Linked DNA regions of Caenorhabditis elegans. The protein of the gene in region 3 interacts with the protein of the main gene of each other region in a pairwise test. Each region holds a gene or a part of one and is shown on either strand. Other genes may lie near its edges. The genes, in order: tor-2, mrpl-16 and pal-1.

The links.
Region 1: the proteins of pal-1 (region 3) and tor-2 interact in a two-hybrid assay, tested with the Caenorhabditis elegans proteins (one large-scale study listed by BioGRID).
Region 2: the proteins of pal-1 (region 3) and mrpl-16 interact in a two-hybrid assay, tested with the Caenorhabditis elegans proteins (one large-scale study listed by BioGRID).

The regions. Positions count from the first base shown.
Region 1 is NC_003282.8:13,980,518-13,988,408, reverse strand, and holds tor-2 (Torsin), read left to right. Parts: upstream 1-4,267; 5' UTR 4,268-4,548; coding exon 4,549-4,609; intron 4,610-4,803; coding exon 4,804-4,987; intron 4,988-5,037; coding exon 5,038-5,725; 3' UTR 5,726-5,773; downstream 5,774-7,891. Other genes in the region: tor-1 (Torsin), read left to right, coding at 2,716-2,776, 2,971-3,154, 3,208-3,895; gei-18 (GEX Interacting protein), read left to right, coding at 5,886-5,943, 6,180-6,284, 6,346-6,515, 6,573-6,870, 6,995-7,187, 7,232-7,322.
Region 2 is NC_003281.10:4,702,887-4,710,198, reverse strand, and holds mrpl-16 (Large ribosomal subunit protein uL16m), read right to left. Parts: upstream 5,796-7,312; 5' UTR 5,793-5,795; coding exon 5,696-5,792; intron 5,621-5,695; coding exon 5,536-5,620; intron 5,490-5,535; coding exon 5,165-5,489; intron 5,108-5,164; coding exon 4,892-5,107; 3' UTR 4,792-4,891; downstream 1-4,791. Other genes in the region: T04A8.18 (F-box domain-containing protein), read right to left, coding at 3-149, 862-951; T04A8.13 (G-patch domain-containing protein), read right to left, coding at 1,817-1,878, 1,927-2,467, 2,953-3,045; pgap-2 (Post-GPI attachment to proteins factor 2), read right to left, coding at 3,410-3,682, 4,069-4,175, 4,221-4,591, 4,640-4,680; clp-2 (Calpain catalytic domain-containing protein), read left to right, coding at 6,183-6,245, 6,340-6,504, 6,551-6,833, 6,881-7,161, 7,209-7,312.
Region 3 is NC_003281.10:4,804,345-4,812,235, forward strand, and holds pal-1 (Homeobox protein pal-1), read right to left. Parts: upstream 4,366-7,891; 5' UTR 4,365-4,365; coding exon 4,234-4,364; intron 3,758-4,233; coding exon 3,682-3,757; intron 3,628-3,681; coding exon 3,340-3,627; intron 3,016-3,339; exon of another isoform or gene 2,867-3,015; intron 2,805-2,866; coding exon 2,702-2,804; intron 2,528-2,701; coding exon 2,356-2,527; intron 910-2,355; coding exon 867-909; 3' UTR 365-866; downstream 1-364. Other genes in the region: rRNA N(6)-adenosine-methyltransferase metl-5, read left to right, coding at 51-178, 229-342; C38D4.7 (C2H2-type domain-containing protein), read right to left, coding at 5,778-5,924, 5,969-6,023, 6,070-6,479, 6,535-6,720, 6,765-6,806. UniProt on the Caenorhabditis elegans protein: Transcriptional activator. Interacts with promoter regions for tbx-8.9, tbx-9, elt-1, hnd-1, scrt-1, and vab-7 genes. Binds the sequence ATTTATGAC. Binds to the enhancer region of the hlh-1 gene promoter during embryonic body wall muscle development.

The DNA.
Region 1 (7,891 bases), on a different chromosome or scaffold from region 3:
TATATCTTAATTTTTTGAATACAACTCTCAATAGTCCAATACAACTTGTGAGCGCATTTGAAATTTAACAACTGTGCGAAACAGTGATTTTTTAAAATTATTTTCGTAACTGTTTTTAAAATTTTTATGTTTTATATAGTTTTGAAAACATTGGAAGATAAATAATAGCTAGCTTTGCTTTCATTTAATTTTCCAGGCACCAAGAGAGCACAAAAAACATTGCAGAATAAATTTAAGTCATTTGAGCCAAGTAACCAATTGTTTTTTATTTTCTAGCCTTTTGAGGTTACTAATTGGAAGTTGATAATTTAGAAATTGGAATTAATATAAATTTTTAGTGAACAAAATTTCTGCATTAGAACAAACTTGTAAGCGTAGTTGGAATTTCACAACTGTTTGAAACAGTGCAAATTTTTTTAGATTTAAAAAAAACTTCTGTTTCAATATTTGAATAAAACATTGTGTGATTTAAACAATTTTTCATGAAATATGGTGATGTTGAATGTGTGGATCATTAAACACTTTCTACTTACTCTAATTGTTTATTTATTGCTCCTTGCATAAATCTACTCTACTTATCTTTTTGGCGTCTCCACAATTTGATTAAAATTGAAAAACTGGGAATTGGAATCAAATCTTAATTTTTAGAATACATAACACATTCGTGTTATGTATTTTGAAAATATTAGGAGTTTAGTAATATTCAGTTTGTTGTGGATTAGGCATTTTAGGTACCAAAGGCAGCGTTTTTTTTAAAGTTATTTTCTGAACATTTTTCTTATTTGACAAATGAGTTGTGTATAAATTGTTATTTCACAGTATCCTCCCATATTTACAGTTTTTGAATATATTTCCCCATTAAAATTCAAAATAAAATTATGCTGTAAATAAATCAATAAATTACATTTTTGTTTGAGAATCACACTATATAATTTTAAAACATGCTTGTTATCAGGAATTTTCCGCTTACATTGATAAATGTGAGTATTTTCAATTTTTTTTACTGTTTCTAATTGTTTATTTGTTGTTCTCAAAAAAATATCTACACTACCTTTGGAATCGATTACAAACTAAATTCTTTTTTTTTTTGAATGGTAATTTGATTTCCTATAAATCTGTTCATCAGTACTTTTGTAATAATTGTTTAAATGAAAAATTTTTAGTAAGTCACTTTTCGGTACAATAACAAACTGTTTCTAAATTTCTAAAGAGTAATTGAAAGATCACAACTATTTGAAATAATATAATTATTTTTGGATTTTTTTTGATAAAATTACTGATTAAAATTGCAAGATTAAATTTTAAACCGGTTAACTTGCTAGCTACTCTTGTTTTAGTTCCCAGAGAGATATGAAAACTTGTTTTTTCTGAAACATCTGTCAAAGCTGGAAAACATTTTTTCGGAAGGTCTCCTAAATATGCGCTTCAGGCAGCGTTTTTCAGCCATTTGTAACTGTTAAATTTGATATAAAAAGTTTGTTTCGCTGTGTCGAAGTATTTTTCCATATTCACATTTTTGAATACAATTTTCCCATAGTATACGTCAATTAAAATTTTGTTTCAGATTTCTCTTGTATGGCTTTGAAACATTCATGTTTATCGAGAATATTCTGCAAACATTGATAAATGTGGAACTTTTTTCTATTGTTTCTAATGGTTCATTTATCGTACCCAGAAAAATCTTTCTACTGCCGTCTTTGTTTTGGCTTTTAAAAAATTTTTATTGAAAATTGAAAAGCTGAAAATTGGAATTGAAACACCATTTTTAGTCGAGCAAATTTTTTCTCCGTAAAAAAACTGGTAATTGTAATTGCAATTTGACACCTTTCTGATAATTTGTTTATTTTTAATTCTATAGCTTTTTATATTTCCAAAACTTGTATGTTTCATATAGTTATGAAAATATTGGAAGATTAAGTCTGTCCCATTCTGTGCTTAGCCGCGTTATCAAAAAAAATAGTTTTTCAGGCACCAAAAAACACGCGAGTCACAAAAAATAGAACTAATTGGAATCTTAAAAATAATTGGAATCTCTTCTTTCTTTGCTCTACAGAAAATGGACTAGGTATATATTATCTTAGGAAATTCTGACGTCACAATAGTATCTTTAACAGTGTTTTAACAACATTTGAAAAATCAGAAACTTCCAGAGCAAAAGGTTGCGGCACTTCCTTGGATCAAGCACATATGGAACATAAATAACATACAGTTTTACTTTTTCAACAAAAAAAAACTCTGCTACTTTTATAGATAGCTTTTCTCGATTTTATAAGTAATTTCATTGATTAATCGACCCATTCATCGAATTCCTCCACAAATCATTTTCAAAACATTTATTGAATTCGTTAATTACTGAATCTAATGGCGTGTTCATTGTCAACATCGTACAGTTTACTTTTTTTCAATTGTTTTTTCATCCTAGGAAACTGTGCTTCAGAAAATTTAATTATAATTGATTGCACATTATAAAAACATGCTTTCAGTTACCTATAGAATCTATTACAAACGCAATTCATAATTTGAATGGTCATTTGATTTCGCACAAATCTGCTCACCAGTAATCCCTTTCCAATTGTTTGTGGGATTAAAATTCCAACAATTTCACAGTTTATGTTACATACATCAAAATTATTTCTGACCTATTTTTGCATTTTTGTGATGAGAATTTATGTTTTATTGTTGATTCTTTTTCCAATCGGCAGTTTATCACTGCCAATGTTTTTAAAATGGTTATTTTGCACATGCTGTTTTGAAACGGATATATTCGATTATCTTAGTGAGTATAAGATACAATTTGAACAAATTAGACTCTTCCGGTGGAAAAAGTGAATACTTAAAATATTTACGCACCTTTTAAGCTTGAATGAGACAGTTTGTACTTTTGTAAAAAAAAGCCAAAAGAAAATCTGTATTGAAAATTTGAAAGAACTCCCTTTTTGAGTTAGTACTTGTTATAGTTTCCCATTTCAGAGCTACACAGAGATCTTTCTAGATTTATTTATGGCCAGCATTTGGTAATAGATACTGTGGTTCGTTCAATCAAATCTCACTGGCATAATGAGCATCCTCAGAAACCGTTAGTTCTCTCATTTCATGGTGGGCCGGGTACTGGAAAGAACTATGTGACTGAAATCATCGCAAAAAACACTTTTCGGTAATTGTTCAAGATTTTGCATACTTTCTGAAAAAAATGCATTAGTGTTTCAGAAGTGGACTTCAAAGCCCATATGTGAAGTATTTTGTTGCAACAAAGGATTTTCCAAACAACAAACATATAGAGGATTATAAATTGAAACTAAAAGAACAACTAATACAATCTGCCGACGGATGTGATCGATCCATTTTCGTGTTTGATGAGGTGGATAAATTACAAAGTGAACTGGTTCAAACAATCAAACCTTTTCTTGATTTTTATCCAGCCGTTTTTGAAGTTGACTTTCGAAAAACTACCTTCATTTTTCTAAGCAACAAAGGAAGCTCTGAAATTGCGAACATTGCATTGGAACATCGTCGAAATCTTAAAAAACGGTCACAACTCGAGTTGAAGCATTTTGAACGAACACTTATGTCACATGCATTCAATGAGAAAGGTGGTCTACGAAACACTGAATTGATCTCTAATCAGCTTATTGATCATTATATCCCATTTCTTCCCTTATCTAAGTTCTACGTTTCCCAGTGCATTCAAGTACATCTTCGAAAACGCGGAAGACATGATTTGGCAAAGGATGGAGAATTCATGCAAAGAGTTCTCGATTCTCTTGAATTTTTCCCTGAATCTAGCAAGGTATTTTCCTCGTCAGGATGTAAACGTGTAGATGCAAAAACTGAACTAGAAATTTCCAAGATGGGATTCTCACTCAATTCGGAGAAAGAGTTTAATGATGAGTTGTAGTTTTTTTTCTGTTTCAAAATGTCCAGAAATTTGTTTTCATTCTAAGTGTTTAATTTTTTTGTTGATTTAGCAACATTTACAAAATTGAATGAACTCAATGATGAGTTGTAAATATTTCCCCTGTTTCAAATTGTCCATAACTACGTTTTTATTGTATTCATTTTATTATTTAATTTTGCGAGTAGAAAATGATTTTGAACCAGATACTTTTACCTCCACCAGGTACTCCACCTTTCATAAGTTAATTAGTTTTTATTATCTTTGCATTAAGCTTGAACTGTAGTAACTGCTCAAAATAAAATTGAATTGGTACAAAAATGTTTTTGAATAAAATCAGCCCTTTTGAAATGAAAAAGTTCGCTGAAAAATGGTTTCTATTGAAATTTAAATTCTATGTTCAATGTTTCTTTATCTTCAAATTTCGTTATCAGTGCATCAATCTATTTTTCGGTGTGATTTCTCATGGATATTTTGATGTTAGCAAGAATACGCAGATAACAAGCGACATCTTCTGTTCCATTTCATTTTCCTTTACTTCTCACTTGTCAAATATTTTGTTTTATTCTGAAAGAAAGATGCAATTTTTTAAATATATTATTTTCGTTATCATTCTTAATCAATTAGTCGTCGATGTCCACAGCTTATCAATGCCAATGTTTTTAAAATGTTTATTTTACACTTGCTGCGGTGAAACGGATATATTCAATTATCATGGTGAGTAGCAATATTTTAAGAAATTCAGTCAAAATTCAGAACACCATGCAAATTGTTTCTAATGTAAAACACAGCTATATACAAATTTTGAGTTGTGCTCCGTGATAAGGAGCATTTTTCGCACTTTTTTTTTTGATACTTTTGAAAGAAAAACCGTTTATTTTTTAAATATTTTTCTAAACTTTACATTTCAGCGTTATACAAAGATTTCGATAATAAAATTTTCGGGCAGCACTTGATGGCAGAATCTGTAGTTCATTCAATCAAATCTCATTGGCACAATGAGCATTCTCAGAAGCCGCTAGTTCTCTCATTTCACGGCGGAACCGGCACTGGAAAGAATTATGTGACTGAAATTATTGTGAACAATACTTATCGGTAACTTTTCATTGCTTAAAATTTTTTTGAGAAACAAGTTTATGTTTTAGAAGTGGAATGCACAGCCCATTTGTGAATTATTTCGTTGCAACAAATAATTTTCCGAATAAAAAGTATATTGAGGATTATAAATTGGAACTGAAAGATCAACTTATAAGATCGGCCCGAAGATGTCAGCGATCTATTTTTATATTTGATGAGACGGATAAGCTACAAAGTGAATTGATTCAAGTGATCAAACCATTTCTTGATTATTATCCGGCGGTCTTTGGAGTGGACTTTCGGAAAACTATCTTCATTTTTCTAAGCAACAAAGGGAGCAAAGAAATTGCTAATATCGCATTAGAACATCATGAAAATGGTAAAATAAGATCACAACTCGAGTTGAAGCATTTTGAACGAACACTGATGCTTTCTGCATTCAATGAAGAAGGTGGTCTTCGTAACACTGATATGATCTCTAATCAACTTATTGATCATTTTATACCATTTCTTCCCTTATCTAAGTTCTACGTTTCCCAGTGCATTCAAGTACATCTTCGAAAACGCGGAAGACATGATTTGGCAAAGGATGGAGAATTCATGCAAAGAGTTCTTGATTCTCTTGAATTTTTCCCTGAATCTAGCAAAATATTTTCCTCGTCAGGATGTAAACGTGTGAATGCAAAGACTGATCTCGAAATTTCCAAGATGGGATTCTCACTCAATTCGAAGAAAGAGTTTAATGATGAGTTGTGAAAGTATTTTCTCCTGTTTCAAGATGTTGATAAATTTGTGTTCAATATTTTTTATGGTTCGGTGTTCTCTAAGGCTTTAAGTGGTTTGAAGTTCCAAATACTTATTAATTTGTTAATTTATGCATGTTTTTCTTTTTTTTAAATATCATTATCATCCTCAGATGACTCCGCGGAAAAATAGTGGAACGATGGGAATGGAATTCAACAAGAAAACTCAGTGTGAGTTTTTAAAGTTTGTAGAACGCCAAAAAATTTTGTTTTCTTTAATTTTTTAGGCAAATTTAGAATAAATTAAAAAATTGTAAACTTATGCAAAATTAGATTCTAAAATAGGTAGCAATATGTACACAAAAAAGATAGCAAAAAACGTAACGCCTGCTGTAGGTAAGGCCTATCTAAAAATCTACCTACAATGTAATCCGTAGTTTTCTATTCAGAAATGTAACGATTTCCAGATTATTCGCAATGCCAATTCTGCACTTTGAAAATTTGGTCAAACACGGAAATTGTTCTTGCTGGTGGAAATGTAATTTGCAATTTGTGCATTGCCGAAAAAAGCCGTGAGTTTTTTCCCCTAAAAGTCCAGAAATGTAACTATTAACAATATACATGCTACTTCAGATGCCGTTCAATTCGACAGAAAATATATGATCAAAACATTATCAAAGACATTTTCAAGAAAGTGGGAAATCTCGAATAATTTAATAATGACACTGCTGATTCTTTTGCTCTCTGCACTTTTTTTTATATCTCAAGGAACTTTTTCAATGCTTCAAAATGAACCAAACCAGGTTTGATTTTTCCACATAACTTTGTTCCTTTCGACAAATAAATTTGCTTATTTACAGGATCGAAACCCCTACCAAAACTACATAGAATCAGTAAGATCCTTTGTCAATTCGGATTTCTCAGATATTTCAAAAGAAAATCGGAATCTTTTGAGATTAATTGGTGAACAAATGTTTTTACATCCAGATGAACATGCTCCGCTTGTCATAGTTATTGCTGGTTTGAAAGCTAATGAGTTTTCTGAAAAATTAAACAAGGCAATTCAAAATTCTAAATCAGAGACAAATTCAAATAATTTACCAATTGAAATTGGAAATCAACTTGAAAGAGGAGAGCTACATGCAATATTGAACAATGGTTAGTTTTTTTTTAACTGTTTCACCAAGTTCATTAATTTTGGGCATTTTTGACACTTACGTTATATAGTTGTAAATGTATTTTTCCGAAAATCTCTTGAAATTTATTTCACTTACCACTTTAGCTCTCGCATCACAAATGACACCTAGAACAGCAGTCCTGACAAATATTGATCTTCTTGCATGGGATGCAGTTTTAGTGCTCCATGCCTTTGCGGACCATGGAACTTTTCCCATCCCAAAAACTGTACTCCTCCTAGCAGTATCAACAGAAGAAACTACTTATTCTGGGAATAGTTGTGATGGGAAAATTTTGAAGTAAGTGATTTTTATTTTTAAAATAAAAAGCAATTAAATTCCAGGCTTGTAACGAACCGCTGGATCGAAAATGGAGGAAACTATGACAATATTCCACCAATTGTAGCCAGGATTTCATATTTTATGTGCTTATAATAAAAATTATTTGTTTAAAAATTTAGTTTTTGTTTACTTGGAAATTGTGAAAAAATATGGAATTTTTAAACTTGGTTACTGCAATTTTGTTCACCGGGAAAAATTACTGTTTCAAAAGATTTGTTTAATTGAAAATCCTCATGTTTATTTGGTTCCTTTATATTAAAATTTTGATTAGAAAAATATTATTCACGAGAAAACAAAACAAGTTTTTAAGTGTTTCTGTGAAAATTTAGGGCAGATCAAGTGTAGATCACACAAAATTTTAGGGAAAATCTATAGAAATGCACATTTAAATGTGAAATTAGAAGAAGATATAATATGATCTACGTGTGATCTACTCAAATTTTTCTCAGAAACGCTCAAAACCAAAGGCTGACCGCGCGACAAAACGATTTTGAAAAAAAGTCCTCTTCGAACTCAGAGAATTTAAAATTTAAACTATATTTTGTAAACAAAAACAATTCTTTTTCCTGTTTGTTTTTTTCATCATAACTTTTTATCAGTTTTTCCGTTTATCAATTTAGGGTTCAGTTTACGAAAAAAATAAAAATATTTACATCAATTTT
Region 2 (7,312 bases), 100 kb from region 3:
ACCTGTTCTTCTTCAATTACTTCCTGAATCACCGCCAACTTCTCATTATTCAACTCTTTTGGTTTTCCGATTCGAGTCGTGAAGAACTGCTTGATGTTGAATCCAAAATCCACATGACGTTTCGACAAATCAAAACGTATTTGGGGACGCTGAAATTTGAAACTGATACTTTGGATGAAAAATGAATAAAGCAGAACACAATGACATCAGAAAAAGATTTCCATGGGAACATAGTTTTTGTGTTTTTTGATTCCGTGTTCGAATTGTTACTAATTAATTTAAAATTATCCTATTTTCTGATAAAGCTTTACATATCACGTGGTCTCTATGTTTTTCAAACTTTGAAGTGATGTTTTGGAATGTTTCTTTGTGTCATTTAATAAATAAAGTCAATTATAGTTTCACACATAATAGTAGAGTATTTATCGCTAATTGAGATTTGTTCAAAATATACCAAAAAAAATTAAAAACTGAAATCTTTTTAATGTTATTTAAACTTTTTGCCAACTTTCATTTTACCCTTTTGAAATTAATTTTTACAATGACATTTGGTCATTTTGCCACCATGGGGGGGGGGGGGGTGATGTTCTAAAAATCCAAGTTTAAACATTTATTTATTTCGAAAATTCCTGAAAAACAATTTGGTCGTAAAGATTTGAGCTTTTGAATAATCACAATGCTTCCTACAAGCAGGCACAAGAATACCTAGCTATGAGCCTACAAGGCATAGGTAGCTCGAAATTTCCATGATTACACAGAAGCTCTGATGGAATAATTCAAAACTAGTTTGGAGTTTGTTAGAACTGGTTATTTTCCTATTAGTAAAGCACACATTGCCTCAACCAACTATAAGCTACTTACTGGTTTAGTAACTCCAATTTTGAGATGTCCTCCAAGAAAGTCTAGAGCCGAAATACGATCATCTGGATGTTCCTGCTTGCTCAACGACATTGCTCCACGGATTTTCTGCAAAAACTCACGAGTTTCATTAAAAATCGAACAAAAATTCTGGATGTGTTGAGCGTGGAGGCTTTTTTCTCTGGAAAAGAAGAGAAAATGGGCAAAAACAGAGAAATGTGAAGACGTACTAGACTACTAGAGCAAACGAGAAATATGTGGGCGGAGTTGAAGCTCAACGGAGCACTCACACACGAGAAGAAGAAGAAGAACATCGATTTGGAATGTGGAGAGAAGGAGAAGAGGAAAAGAATGGCAAAGTGCCATGGGAAACGAATTCTGAGAAGTACGGAAACTGGAAACGATGTCTCTTGAAATGTAGATATATCCTTCAAATGTTTGGTGATTAGGGAGTCATTTGCATATTTTTTTATTGATAAACCAGTGATGTCTTGACTGACTTTATCTATGGATGTATAGATCGGAGGAAAATCTAGTGATGTGATCATGTAAAATGTTTTTGGAACAACTTATTAAAACGATTTTTTGTTGGATAATTTTAAACGTTTAAAGCAGTTAACTAAATAGTGCAATTGGTTCCTGATTCAGGATTGTGGAATAATTGGAAAATGTCGAAAGAAGCAAGTTTATATGAATGATTCTAAAAATTATGTGCCTCCAATCTCCATGGAAACTTTTCAAAACACGTTTGCTTACATAGACGCAAACTTCCGAGTATTGTTTTTATTCAAAGTAGAATGTAGTCGATTATATAATTGAATCCTTGGAATTTTTAACAACACTCCCATTAATTGAGAAAAAAAATCATATATTGCAGAACACTGGGCATTGTCAAAATAATTTTTACAAATTAAAACTCTTCATTAGACCCCGGACAGTACTATTATACGAGTTGCCATCAAAGCACGACGCAACACGCGTTCTTCTTTTTTGGAGGCGGACGACGTGGTGTTGGAGGCGCTGAAAAAAAATCTTATTCTCATAGTTCTTTGTAACAGGACCACTTACGAATATTCTGACGTGGAGGAGGTGGGACCAAAGCAGTTGATGCTGGCGCAGTTGATCCTTCTTTCTTGATAGTATCCACACCACTTTTATCATCCTTCTTCGGATCTTCTTTGACTTTCTCTTCTTTCGTCTTCTCCTTTTCTTTCTCTTTATCATCCTCTGTCTTCTCCTTTTTCTCCTTTTCATCTTTCTTTTCTTCTTTCTTTTCTTTTTTCTTCTCCTCATTCTTTCCCTCATTATCCTCGGTTTTTGTCTTTTCCTTTTTATCCTCTTTGCTTTCTTCTTTCTTGTCATCCTTACTTTTTTCCTTTTTCTCATCATTCTCATTCTCTTTCTTATCCTCTTTCTTGTCTTCTTTCTTTTCATGTCCGTCTTCTTTCTTCTCTTCCTCTTTCTTTTCCTTTTCATTCTTTTCTTTTTCCGCCTCTTCTTTGTCCTTTTCTTCGTCCTTCTTCAATTCAGCAAACTCATCTTGTAACTTTCTCTCCCTTTTTCGAGCCTCCTTGTCTTTCTTGTCATCTCCAACAATTTCCTTTTGATCCTGAAAATTTTTAACATTCCTGTGGTAGCGGGGGCATTTGCAGCGTGGCCGCGAAAATCGGTGGCCGAGTTTGCTCTTTCATAACGACACATTTTTCAAGCTGGCGAATGAGGATACTCGAATTTTCTTCTATGAACGTGTGTTGAAAGTTATATTATTAGGTAGTGTTGCAAAACCGATTTTCCAGAAAATGCTTCATAACCATTTCATGAAGGTGGCCGAGTTTTCTGTTTCGCGGCCACGGCCATGTATTAAAAAACGACATGGTCACCGAGACAAACGTTTCCAGACTAAATATGTATACAAAAACTTATATTAAAAAAATCAACTTGAAAGTGTGTGAAGTTCAAATACAGTCATGTGCAGCTTTTCCTCGAGGAATACACGAGCCGCGTAAATTGACACATGGCCGTGTTAGAAGGACGCATTTCGGTTCTTCCATTATTTGATGATAAAGGCGCCCGTGTGCCGAGAGTTATACTTACCATACCAAGACCTTCTTTCTTATCGTATCCAGGTTTCATAATTTGCTTTCCTGACTTGGTCTTTCCCAGGTTCTCAGTTTTCTTATCGTTCATCTTATAGTGGCCACTTTCTGGTAAACTTGGCAAACGATTCGATTCCGTTACAATTTTCGAGAAATTGATTCAAATGTAGAAGTGATTCATATGACGAAGGAGGGAGCAATTTTTGCATATTGTAAACTAGGGTGTCGCGTGAAGACTAGAATGCCACGGTAAGGCTATTTGCTTCTAAATTTCAGTGTGAAAACAAATATTTTTGAAAACCATTTATATGAGAAAATGCAAGTGAAACATATTTTTAAAACCCGAAGCAAACCGAAAAATTAGAAGCTTTTCGAAACAATAAATATTGGAATAAATAAATATATATTATTATATCATGCAATAAAACTGTCATCACATCAGGACCCATCAATTGTTACGTATCCTTATCGATTTGAGTTGGCAGAAGGTTGTAGTGTCCGCCTCCAAACGATGAGGTTAACACAATATTTTTGCCATGGAAGTCATAATATAGAGTACAATGGAAGAAAATGTTTGATAAAACGGCAGAGTACTCGACAAGTGCGAAGAGCGTGTAAATTCCTGGCTCGCAGTACGTGTTATGCCTCCAATAAAGATATGCTCCAAGGAAAAAGCATAGAACGAAAATAGCAGCTCCCAGGATTTTATATTCGTGCGAACGTTGACCCTGCAATTTCAGTATTAATTTTCTAAATTAATTTCTCACAGATAACAAGTTTTGGAGAATAAATAAAAATTTATGAAAATAGTTAGACTTGGGGGATAAAGGTTTTTTTCGTAAATTGTTATTCAAGACGCCAGATTTTGCCAAAACTACGGTGACCGGACACGACATTTTTGTCTTTAATACAAACTGATGTGCGCCTATGAAGATTACTGTAGCTTCAAACCTTTTTGCTGTAGAATTTTCATCGATCCATCTTTTGTTTGTATTTTACAGAAAAAAAGGCGTGTCGAGTACTGTATTTATGGCGAAACTACTCGTGTCTAGATAATATTTACTTTTTTATTTACTAATCTCTTTAATTTTCAAGATTATGTGAGCAAACTTACCAAATTTGTTGCAGTTCTCCTTCCAGTTTCATTGAAAAGCCATGTGCTCAAAAGCATGTATATAATCGAACAAATAGCAAATCCACCGAAGCATTTAGCATGAAGAGCTGAATTTAAAAATAGTTAACTATTTCATACATTTTAGTTCTTACAGTGATCTTCACTTGATGAAATCGATGTTAATGCCAGAAGGAAGAAATTCTCTAGAAGATTGAGAAAGCAAGCCAAATTGCACAAAAACCGAAGCCTTTTATGTCCAGTAAGAGGTCGTAGAGGAGATCCCAATAAAAAGTTTCTGAATGCAATTGCAACTACCAATCGGGGTCCAATATGCAATCCGATTAGAATTCTCCAAATATACTTTTCAGGTGTATACGTTGAGACTGCAGCTGATATGGATGGTAACCAGTTGGCAACTTCACAATGTGTAGATGTTGCCTGATCAAAGTGCAGTAGAAGAGATAATATAACACATATTAAAAGTGCTGAAGATGGTAGACCTCCGATACAGATAACGAAATACCTGGAAGAAAAACATTAAATTGAAGATAAAAGTGTGCATAAAACTCACTTGAATGGGATTGAAAGAATATCATCGTCTCCAAATGCCATCCAATCGGCTGACTTGAAATATTTAGTTTTAAAAATAAATTGAAAATTATCTAGATACAGTGTTAGACTGCGCAATCAAGCTTTTTGCATAAATATAATACTCTTTGAATATTTAGGTTAAGGAGAATCTTCATAGTAACAACAAAAAAGTTCAAAAAAATAAAAACAAGACTACAATTTCTAAAAAAATTTCCATGAGAATTCTTGGGGACTATCGATATTTTCCTTTCCAGGCGACATCGTAGCTTGAAAGCCAACTGTTACAATTCTGCATGTTGTATTTGATGACTTTACCCCAATTAAATCCATTTTTGTTCATCGCACGTTCTTCTTCAGCCTTTTTACGTCTTTCTGCAAGCATTGTCTCACTTACGAACTCGACTGGGAATGAGAAACGTTCGCAAAGGTACAGGAGAAATGCTTTCGCCTATAAGATGTTAAGCATGGAATTGAATTCGGGAGATTTTGAGATGATAAACAATACCTCAATTTCAGTGATATGCCCGCCAACTTCCAGAATAATACGATTTGCTCTTACTGGTGTCACATACTTCTGAATGGATCCTTTTCCACCTCCTAACCTAGTTCCCTGTGCTTTTTTTGTTCTCGGCAGCCATGGTGCATCAACTCGCCAGACAGAAAACTGATTGTCAATAAGATTTTTATTGATTCGATCTTGAATGAATTTGAAGTCATCACTATCAATGAATCCTCCTGATACAGCAGCAAGGCCATACTGCTCGTGAATAAGTTCTGTATGTACTTCTTCTACTCCTCTCGCCTCAATCATTCGCTTTGTTGACTTGTATCTGAATTAAATTACTTTTATCAATAGGTTAGAGATAAAACTCTTACTTTTTCTCTCCTTTTTCGGCATCATAAAATGGCTCAGCTGGCATCACTGGTAGCTTCAACTGTCCATTTGGTGGAAATCGGACATCTGAAATTGATAGAATGAAGAAGCAGTTGTTAAAAATTCTAATAGTCTTCAAAATAAAGAAAAGAAATAACTCACTTTCATACGTTACAGGAAATGAGTATTTCTTCATTCCACGAGTGAACTGTGTCAAGTTGGCTACTGGAGCCCGACATACACATCTGAGATTTATCATCACCTGAAAAAAATAAAAGAAATTCGTAAAACACAAAAATGTTCAATTTGATCAAAGTAAATAACAATTTGGAAAGGAGATCAGGGATAATTTACATTGAGGCATAAAAACTTAACTGAATTACTGAATTTTCTATATTTTAAAGTGATTAATATGCGTTTTAAAGATTATTCAAGCCAGAAAAAGGTTCTAAGTTTAAAATTTCAAATATTGAAAAAAAAATGAGTTGGAAAAATAAAATAAATGTATTTCATACAACCGCGCTCCATTGAACTTACAGGCGAGAGACTGTACAAAACGCAGAGAGCACAGACACTTTCTCATTTTTATTTGAACAATTTCAGCATCATCAGATTTTTTTCTTGAAATAGTATTTCCTGTTTTCAGCGTATGGATGAAAAGGCAACACAATCCGCGTTCGAATTATCACAAAAAGCCGTATATTATGATCAGGTAATTTAAATCGCTTTTTTTGCTGAAATAGTTAATTTTTGTCGAAAATGTTTGATCAATCAGTTGATTTCGAAATCTCAAAGTAATTTTTCAGGGTAAAAAGTATGAAGAAGCGATTTTCTGTTATACCGAGGCTGGAAATCAGTTGCTCAGATTAGTTCAGGAAAAGAAATGTCTGCCAATTTTTCGAAAAAATGTAATGGAATGCATAAATCGAGCAGAATTCCTAAAATCAAATATCCAGAACCTTCAACAACAAGCAAGTTTTGGTCACAATGAATATTTATTTATTTTAAATCATTTAGTATCCTCCAACAACAGATGACATAGCGCATAATGTTGAATATTTGATGGTGAAAGCCGCAGTATTTCAAAACTACGAAAACCAAGTGGATGAAGCTCGACAAGTATACGAGAACGTTGTAGAGCAATGCCTTGGAGCTTCAAGAAATCGAACTCTTCCACAGGAAACATTAAAAAGACTAAGATCCACCGCCGAAAATGCATTAAAGTGTATAGAAGATCTTGTAGCTTTGAAAAAGAAAGTCACAGAGGTGGAATTGCTTTTTCCAGAAGTACCAGTAGATGGTTGGAATTAAGAATTGTATATTAATTTGAAAATTATTCTTTTTCAGATCTTTCAAATTTAAATTTCAATAATCAACCGTCTCCTTCCACTCCATCAAATCAGCCATTTAAATCTCCAACTCGGAATTTTCCTCCTTCTCCATCGAATTCTCAAAAATTCACAAAGGAAGAACTGGCAGTCTTGTTCACAACTTCGAATATTAACAACAAACTTTATGTTCCATTTCACAATTACGACAAAGTGAATGAATTCAAAGGTCAACAAGGCAAATTCACGGATCCTGAAGGGAAAATTAGTTTAACACAAAAACAGAGGATGAAGTTAAAAGTGGGTTTACTTTATTTAATTTTAAATTCTAAACTTTCATTATTCAGTGCTGGAAACGGGTTAGTGAATTATTCGAAAATCCAACGATAATCTTCTCAATTGATTGCCACACAATAAAACAAACGGTTATCTCTGATTGCTCATTCATCTC
Region 3 (7,891 bases):
GTAAATATCCAACGATCTCCTAAAACGTTACAATATCTTAAATTTCTCAGGAATCGATATGCAATTTGTCCAAATCGGTCTTCAAATGGTTCGGCCTGGTGGAAGTGTATTTTCACTTCATAAATCATCAACTAGAGATTATATTCTAAAAAATGCAAAGAAATGGGACGGAGTTGGGGTTTGTTTTTAAATTATTCTAAAATTAGAAAAAAAAATATTGAGTTTCAGGCAGAATGTTGTGCAGAAATGCGGTGGCAACTACCAGCGACTTACAAATTCCATAAACAAAAGGCCGTGGATATTGCCGTCGATTTAATACATTTCAAAAAACTGGATAGTTAATCTCATCAATTTCTGCTGTAAATTCTTCAAAATTGTTTCATTGTTTTGTTATAAAAAATATGCAATCAAGATATGTGAGAAAAGCAAAGAATTCTCTAAACTTTTCCAAAAAATAGAAAACATGTTCAAAATGGATCCGTTCAGAGTGGGAAGTAAATACATAACAAATGGGGACCTAAACTTTTTCCTAAACCTTGAGAAGGGTAAGAAACAAGAAATCACAATAAATAAAGAAGCTCTATATTAGGGAATAATTCATTAGAGAATGATTGGATTAGTTTACAAAGCAGAAGGAATGATCGGAAAGTTATAAATATATATATATATATGTTAAGGGCAGTGATGATTAGAATATTCTGATGTGAGAGAATGGGAGATGGGACAGGAAGAAATTATATAAAAGTGTGAATTTAACCGTATTCAAGCGAGAGAAATGTAAAAATATAATAAATGTGTACAATATTCTAGAAAAATATGAAAATTCCCAGAATTTTTGTACATTTTCTTTGTAAGTAGATGAGTACTTATAGCCGAATCTTCTGTTTGTCACGACGATCCTTTGCACGCCTGCAATTAAAAATATTACAGTATTATTACGGAAATTAACAATTTATCAGAATATATTGAGATCAAAAAGATGCCGTCCCAGTGGTGAATTCAAAAAAAATACGCTTTTCAAAGAAAAGGGATAGGGAACATCAATCTTTTGGTTTATATTCCCTTTCTTTTAATGAATACAATGACCGGTATGGTTCGTCCGTATGTTACCTCTTCCCAGGAAAACGGCGGTCACGTCTGTCCAACACAGTATGTATGTCTGTTTGGATTGGGACGCTACAGGAAAGGGACACACACATTGATTTCCATTTTACAGCACTCTGGGAATCTCTGCCGACGACGTTTCTATTCCCCTCGTAAATCTTTCGATGCGCACTAATATTGTCAAACAAGGCAACAGACAACAAAAAAAACGACTGTTGAGCAGATAATTGGTATATCTCTGCGAGCTGGTCAGAAACCCTTGCTTTATCATTTCTGTAGACTCTTTCATTGAGCTAGAACCTCACCTAATTAAATAAAGGCAAAAACTTGAAATTTGGGGCATTTTGAGTATATTTTTTTGCAAACCTACAAACGATACTCTCCCTTTAACATGCGAGTGAAGGAGATTAACAGTAGCACTTTACGGGAAGTGTTTTATCCCAATAACTTGGAAATTCGCACTAGATATCCTATTCCCTTGTTAATTTCCAAATCCCCGAACGCGTAGATAGCCACACATGCAAGCAGTGACCACCTCTCTTCTACAGTAATACCAATTAGAAAGTCGTAAACGGACCAATTAACAAACTTCATCTCTTCCTCACCTCCACCAGCACGTCTCAAACACTGTGGCCTCCAATTACACAACTTTACGACTCTTTAATTCCTTGGAACTATCTCTACTGCGCGCGTGGACTGAACTGAATCTTAAAGAACGAAAGTGTGGTGGTACTTTTTCCTATGGTTACAGTAGGAGGTGACAGTCATTGTGATGAGTCCCCTGGAAAAGCCTGAGAAAGAGTAAGCAAACAGCAAACAGCAAACAACGTATTTGGCTCGAAAGGGCGCGGAATGAATGAATTCAAATGAGATTTGCAGAGGGCAACATCATCTGTTAATTAAATGACGTTGTGAAATATGTGTCAATATTTGAAGTCTAATCTCATGATTCCAATAAACCAAATTAAACTTTCAGATCTATTAATATGACATCTCACACCATAACAATCCCAATTTGCCACCTCTCATCATATAAATTGAGGTCACTCTAACACTCTTTCACGGCTAAAGACTCTCCTGCTACCTGCCACACGGGTCGAATTGCGTAAGCACCGTAACTCATACACCGCATCACCTTTACCGCCTTTCATCTCTGTGCCAAATCAAGAAAACTTGATATTATTTTGGTGTCTTCAAATTTGTAGTAATCAATCATCCCATTTTAGGCAGTGAGTTTAAAAAAGAATCTACCTATTTTGAAACCAAATCTTGATTTGTCGTTCTGTCAAGCTTAACATCGTCGACAATTGGGACTTGCGATCTGATGTTATGAATGGCGATGTATGGAATTCTTTTTCCAGTTCAAGGCGTTGATAATCCGAGTAAACCATACGGTATTTGTCAGCTGTTCGTACACGGACATCTGAAAATAAGTTTAATTACAAACTCCCTCGTAATAAAATGGGAAATTGATGGGAAAGGAATCATAAATACTCAATTCATTTGTCCTAGTTACTGATAAATATGACTGATAGCGGCTTCTTTTTCACTTGAAGAGAGATTGTTTGCACACGGGGAGACTCTTTTGAAAACTTACTATTCGTTCCAGGTCCCGTTGGTAATGTTTTCCCATCACTGCTTGATCTTCGATCCTTTCCATGATTGTTTCCAAGAGGCATTTTCCACGAGAATCCCTGAAACTTAAATTATCTTTAAAACAAGCTCACTTGGAGGAGAACTAACAGATCAAAAATTGGCTGCTTTATTAGACTTATTAGACATTATTAGAGATATTTATTAGACAAGTTACCACAAACGACAGAATTTCCTAATTTTATGGCAGCTTAAAATATCGAAAAGAGCCAAAAATGCTGAAATCTAAAATTTTATCAACTTATCCTTGTCTAGTAGCTGAAATACAGTTTTTAGTAAGTTTTCATTTTTCATTGCATATTTTGGTAATTTATCTCGTGTTAATTCGTTGATTTAGGCGCGTTCTAAGCCGATAGGCACTGAATTTTTGTAATTTTTGGAAGTAGACTGCTTAAATCAATGAATAAACGCGAGTAGCCGTACCTAAAATATGCAATAAAAAATAAAATTCAATAAAAACTGTACCAACAATTTAGAGTCATAAAAAATGTGAACAGTTTTTGAAAAGTCTCGCTAGGAAATTATGTTTTTTGGTGTTATAAAAGCCAACAAAGGTATTAAAATACAATTTTATATGATTACCTGTTGATAATCCATAAACGGCCAAACAGATTGCTGATAACACGTGGCAGCTCTCATCTGGTAGTTGGCTGCAGCAGCAGCAGCTGCTGAAAGCTCTGAAGAAGATGCAGCTCCAGATGATGTTGATGGGAACGGTGTCATCATATCACTCGGTGATGGATACATTCCACTATCACTACTGCTACTTCCATTCGAAAGCGGTGGCTTCACATCAACGGCTTCTACTGCTGGAATTTGTCCGTTGGCAGCGAGTTGTGGAAGGCCGAATGGATAGAGATCCGGATGTCCCTGGAAATTCAATTTTTAAATAAAAAACCTTAAGGAAATTCATTCAAAACGTACGTAAAAACCAGTATCACCCATTTGTGACCACCTTCCATAGATTTGTGGATCAAATGTTGGTTGCAGCATCTTTTCTCTGAAAAAAGAAAATTAAGTATAAAATGAAAAAAAAAAACAAGAAAAACTTCAAAATATAGCACCTCCTTAATCAAATGTTCTTGTCAATTGATACACACACACACGCCTATTACCTCTTAGACACCCTCCCGCTTCATTCCAACGGTGGAAATGGGCGGAGCAATGTCTTCCAATACACTGTGGAGGCGGGGCGTTACCGTACCCTCCGGATAGATCGAAAATTTGCATATAACCTTTCAAACAAATTCTATCATCAAAAAGGCGACAATATTTGAGAATAAATACATGGTTAGCAAATATTTTGAAGGAGATAAATAAGAGAAAGGGCATGGATTTACAACCATGTGTGTGTGCTGGATTATTAAATATTTATGGTATTTAATTTTGTTCACTTGGTCGTAATGAAACACCAACAGGAAATATTTAATTTTTCGTTGATTTTGAGATTCCAAATAAAAATTTCGAAGATCTAGCCTCAGAGGATGTGGTTGCATGAATGGCATCATTGGATAGTGAGGCCACGTGACATCTGCTGGAACTGTTGTTGGTGAAGGTGTTGATGAGGACTCGTTTTCCGAAAAATCCGACTTGACATCGACCGACATTCTGAAAACGAGGAAGTAATTATCAGTTTATATAGAGAAAAGTGAACAGTAATAAAAATTCAAAATTTGAAGGAAGATTTTCGAGATTTGATGAGAATAGCAATAAAATAACGAGCTGGCAACCCGGCACCGCCTCCTGCGGCTCATTGAGCACTTGGGAAGGCGGGATTTATCAGATATGAACGGGAGAGGGAATTGTGAATGATTTATAGCCACACGTCGATTTTCAGACAAACATATCACTTTTACAATGAGACAGGTCGGCAAGGAAACAAAAACGCCCAGTTCGTTGGGAAATAAATTATTGGTCTGTGCAGGAAACTGTCCGAGACTGTATTCGAAGATGGATTTTCTTACTTTAATAAAATATGCGTTTTTAGAATTGATTTTTAGCATTGAAATTAGCAAGACAAATATAAAAGAAACGTTAAAACTCAACAGAAATGAAGAACAGAAAAAAATTAACACTGAAAAATTTTTACTGACTGATCAGCTCAATAGAGCGCACTTTCCACTTGTCGATTTACGAAGATTTTTATTTAATTTATTGTTCAATAGTTAACTTGCTGTTAAATATCTTTTTATTTAAATAAATATTTTAAAAATTATAAAATTTTGAAAAAGATTAGAAAAAATCATCTAGCCAAAAATTAAGAAAAGAAGAATTTTAGCCACTAAATTTAATTTCAATGAGATCCCGCCTTTAAAATAATTTGAAAAATAGATCACTCACCTCATATTTGATCTACTCGCCCAAATAATAGTAAGTCTACCGGCCATTGAGCCCATCTGGAATTGAGGTTCCATTACGATGTTCATTAGGAAATAAATGAGCGATGAAAGTTTAATTGAGTACGATACGAATGAGCATTTATGACTGACAGGTTCATGTGGAGCAAAGATTACGGTAGCAGAGAATTATTTCTCTTATCAGAAACGAGTGATCTATTAAATAGTTATTCTAAAAGTTGGAGATTCTTAACAAAAAATGTTGCTGAAATCGACAATTTGTCCTCCAAAGATTTGATATAAAAGGCAACAATGAGACCGCCCTTTGACTGATTATGTACCTTCTTTCAGAACATTAAACATTTACGATCTGGGAACTCTGCAGCTGTCATGAAGAACAACAAATGGAGCATCTGAAAATATCAAAGAGTCGCTTACTACTCGATTTCATGCACTATCAAGTTTGACCTGAATATGACCCGGCTGTCTGTTGCGTAATCGTTTTGCTCTTTGTGCATCTATGATACCGCCGTGAGAAGAGCCGCGTCTCGTATTTATTGCCACCCACTGTTGGGAATAGTTAGATAGCTGGTAGGAGAAACAAGATTTATTTACTATAAAATTTATTTGTATCAAAAAAGCTTAAATTTTAAAACAAAAACGAATATAAATTAAAAAAGAAATTTAACACGAGGTCTGCTTTATTCGCAGTGACCTTCTCGCCCCAAGTTCGCCGGCGTGGTTGTTTGAAAAGTGATCCACGAGCTGCTCCTTCGTCTGGGAAACTTCATTGCAGGTCCTGCATCGGAAGCTCTTGAATTTTTCAAGATCCTGAAAAACAACTTCAACTAATTTTTTATAATTTTCAGGCTTACCTTATCGTACTGAGATCCTTTCCCCACCAGCACTGCACCGATGAACACATTATCTCTGAAACTCTCATTTAAATTGAAAAAAAAAACACAACTAGAATTACCTTTCAGCAGATCGTCCATGGTTTCTGTTTTCCTCATCTCGAATCTTTTTCAACTCCTTTGCAGCATCAACAGGTGCTCCGGTCCGCTTGGCTAAATTGGATTGACGAACAACGGCAGACTTGACTCTTTTCGCTGGTTTGAGGGAGCTGGACGATGGATTCTTTTGACCAACCACATCATATGACGAAGCGTGGCTCCTATCGACACGTTCCACGAGAGAATGGACAAGTGCCATCATCTTATCCATATTTTGCTGGCTCCGCTCGTCGGCCTTCTCTCTTTCAGCTCGATGCTCTTCGCGAATGGATCGTTGATCGGCGCGAGCTTCTTCTTGGGCTTTTAGCATCTTCTCACACAACTGCCCAAACATGGATGACTGAGCAGCCAGAGTACCCAGTGAGTGCACAATCTGAAAAATAATTCCATTTCAGTAATGGCTCAATTGTAAAAGTCAATGTACTAACCGCATTTTCCAAAGAGTTTTGTGGTGGTTGGAGCATCGGATTTTGGAGTTGGTAGGGGAAGAATGGGACCATATCGCGGTTGAGGGTAAATCCCGCCATATTCGGTGCACCATTTCCCACAGCAGAAAGCAAACTCGCGGGAGTTTCAGTAGTCTGGGCAGTCTGTCGGGTGGCGGAATCGCCATTCTGAAAACGATTATTTTTTAGGTACAATGAAATGAAAAACTCACTTGGTCAGCAGAGGCTGGAGCTGGAGTGCTTGGCTTGCTCATCCTGAAATGTATGATTTTGTGAAGATTTGCACTTTTAGCAGCTAAAACGACAGTGATCGTGGCGAGACCCAACGAGAAGAATAGCGTGAACACGTTCTAATAAAAAAAATTCCGAATCAAAAGCTGAAAAGGAAAGAGGAAAAGGTGAAAAAGTGAACTGTTAAAATCGAGAATGTCGATTCTGACGAAAAACGTGGCACACGTTGCTTCGCCCATCTCTTCAAGAGGCACGTGAGGTCATACGGAAGTTCATCTTTTTCGTTTTTTAAAAACATTTTGTTTTAAAGGGAAAAATTAGAAAACTTCAATGAAATTGAAAAGAATATTCTGAATATATTTCCAAAAAAAAATTTTCAAAGCAAATTTTTGAAAATTTTTTACAATACAGTTTTTATTTTTTGCCGTAGTTGCTCTTTTGGGAAGCTCATATCTCTCTGCATTTGAAAGATATCAACAAATTTTCAACAGCAATGTCGTAGAGAAAAATACATAAAACATATTTTTCTTGTTGCCATTTTTTGATATTAAGACTAATAGCAGCTGAGATACAATCTGCCAAAGTTTGTGTGTGCATCACTTCTACAAAATAGCCTATTTCAGAATGTTGTGCCTATATTTTTAATTAAAATTTAGTTTCAAAATATAGAAAAATATTTAAATGGCCTGAAGATAACATGTTGCATTCTGAAAGTATACAGTATGAAAGTTATCAATTGAAGAATTTTCCCCGATTATTTGGAGGATTATATTCTAAAATTGTTAAGCATCTTTCTATAATTTTAAACGAATCAAAAAAATAACTTTATATTCATATTTCAATTCTAAATTTCTCTAAATTACTAAAAAAAACGTTGTTGGAATATTTGGTAATTTACCAAAACATGAACGAAATAAAAAATCTAAAATGCAGAATGTACTTTTTCCTGAAACTTTTTAAAATGTAATTTAACCCAGGTATTCCAAACTTTTGTGAAACTTTTTTGTTGGTTTCTCACAGACGGGTGGCGCAACCACTTGGATTGTCTTACTGCGGATTACTGTGCGGCAAAACACCAAACAATGTATAATCTTTTGTATAATTTAAG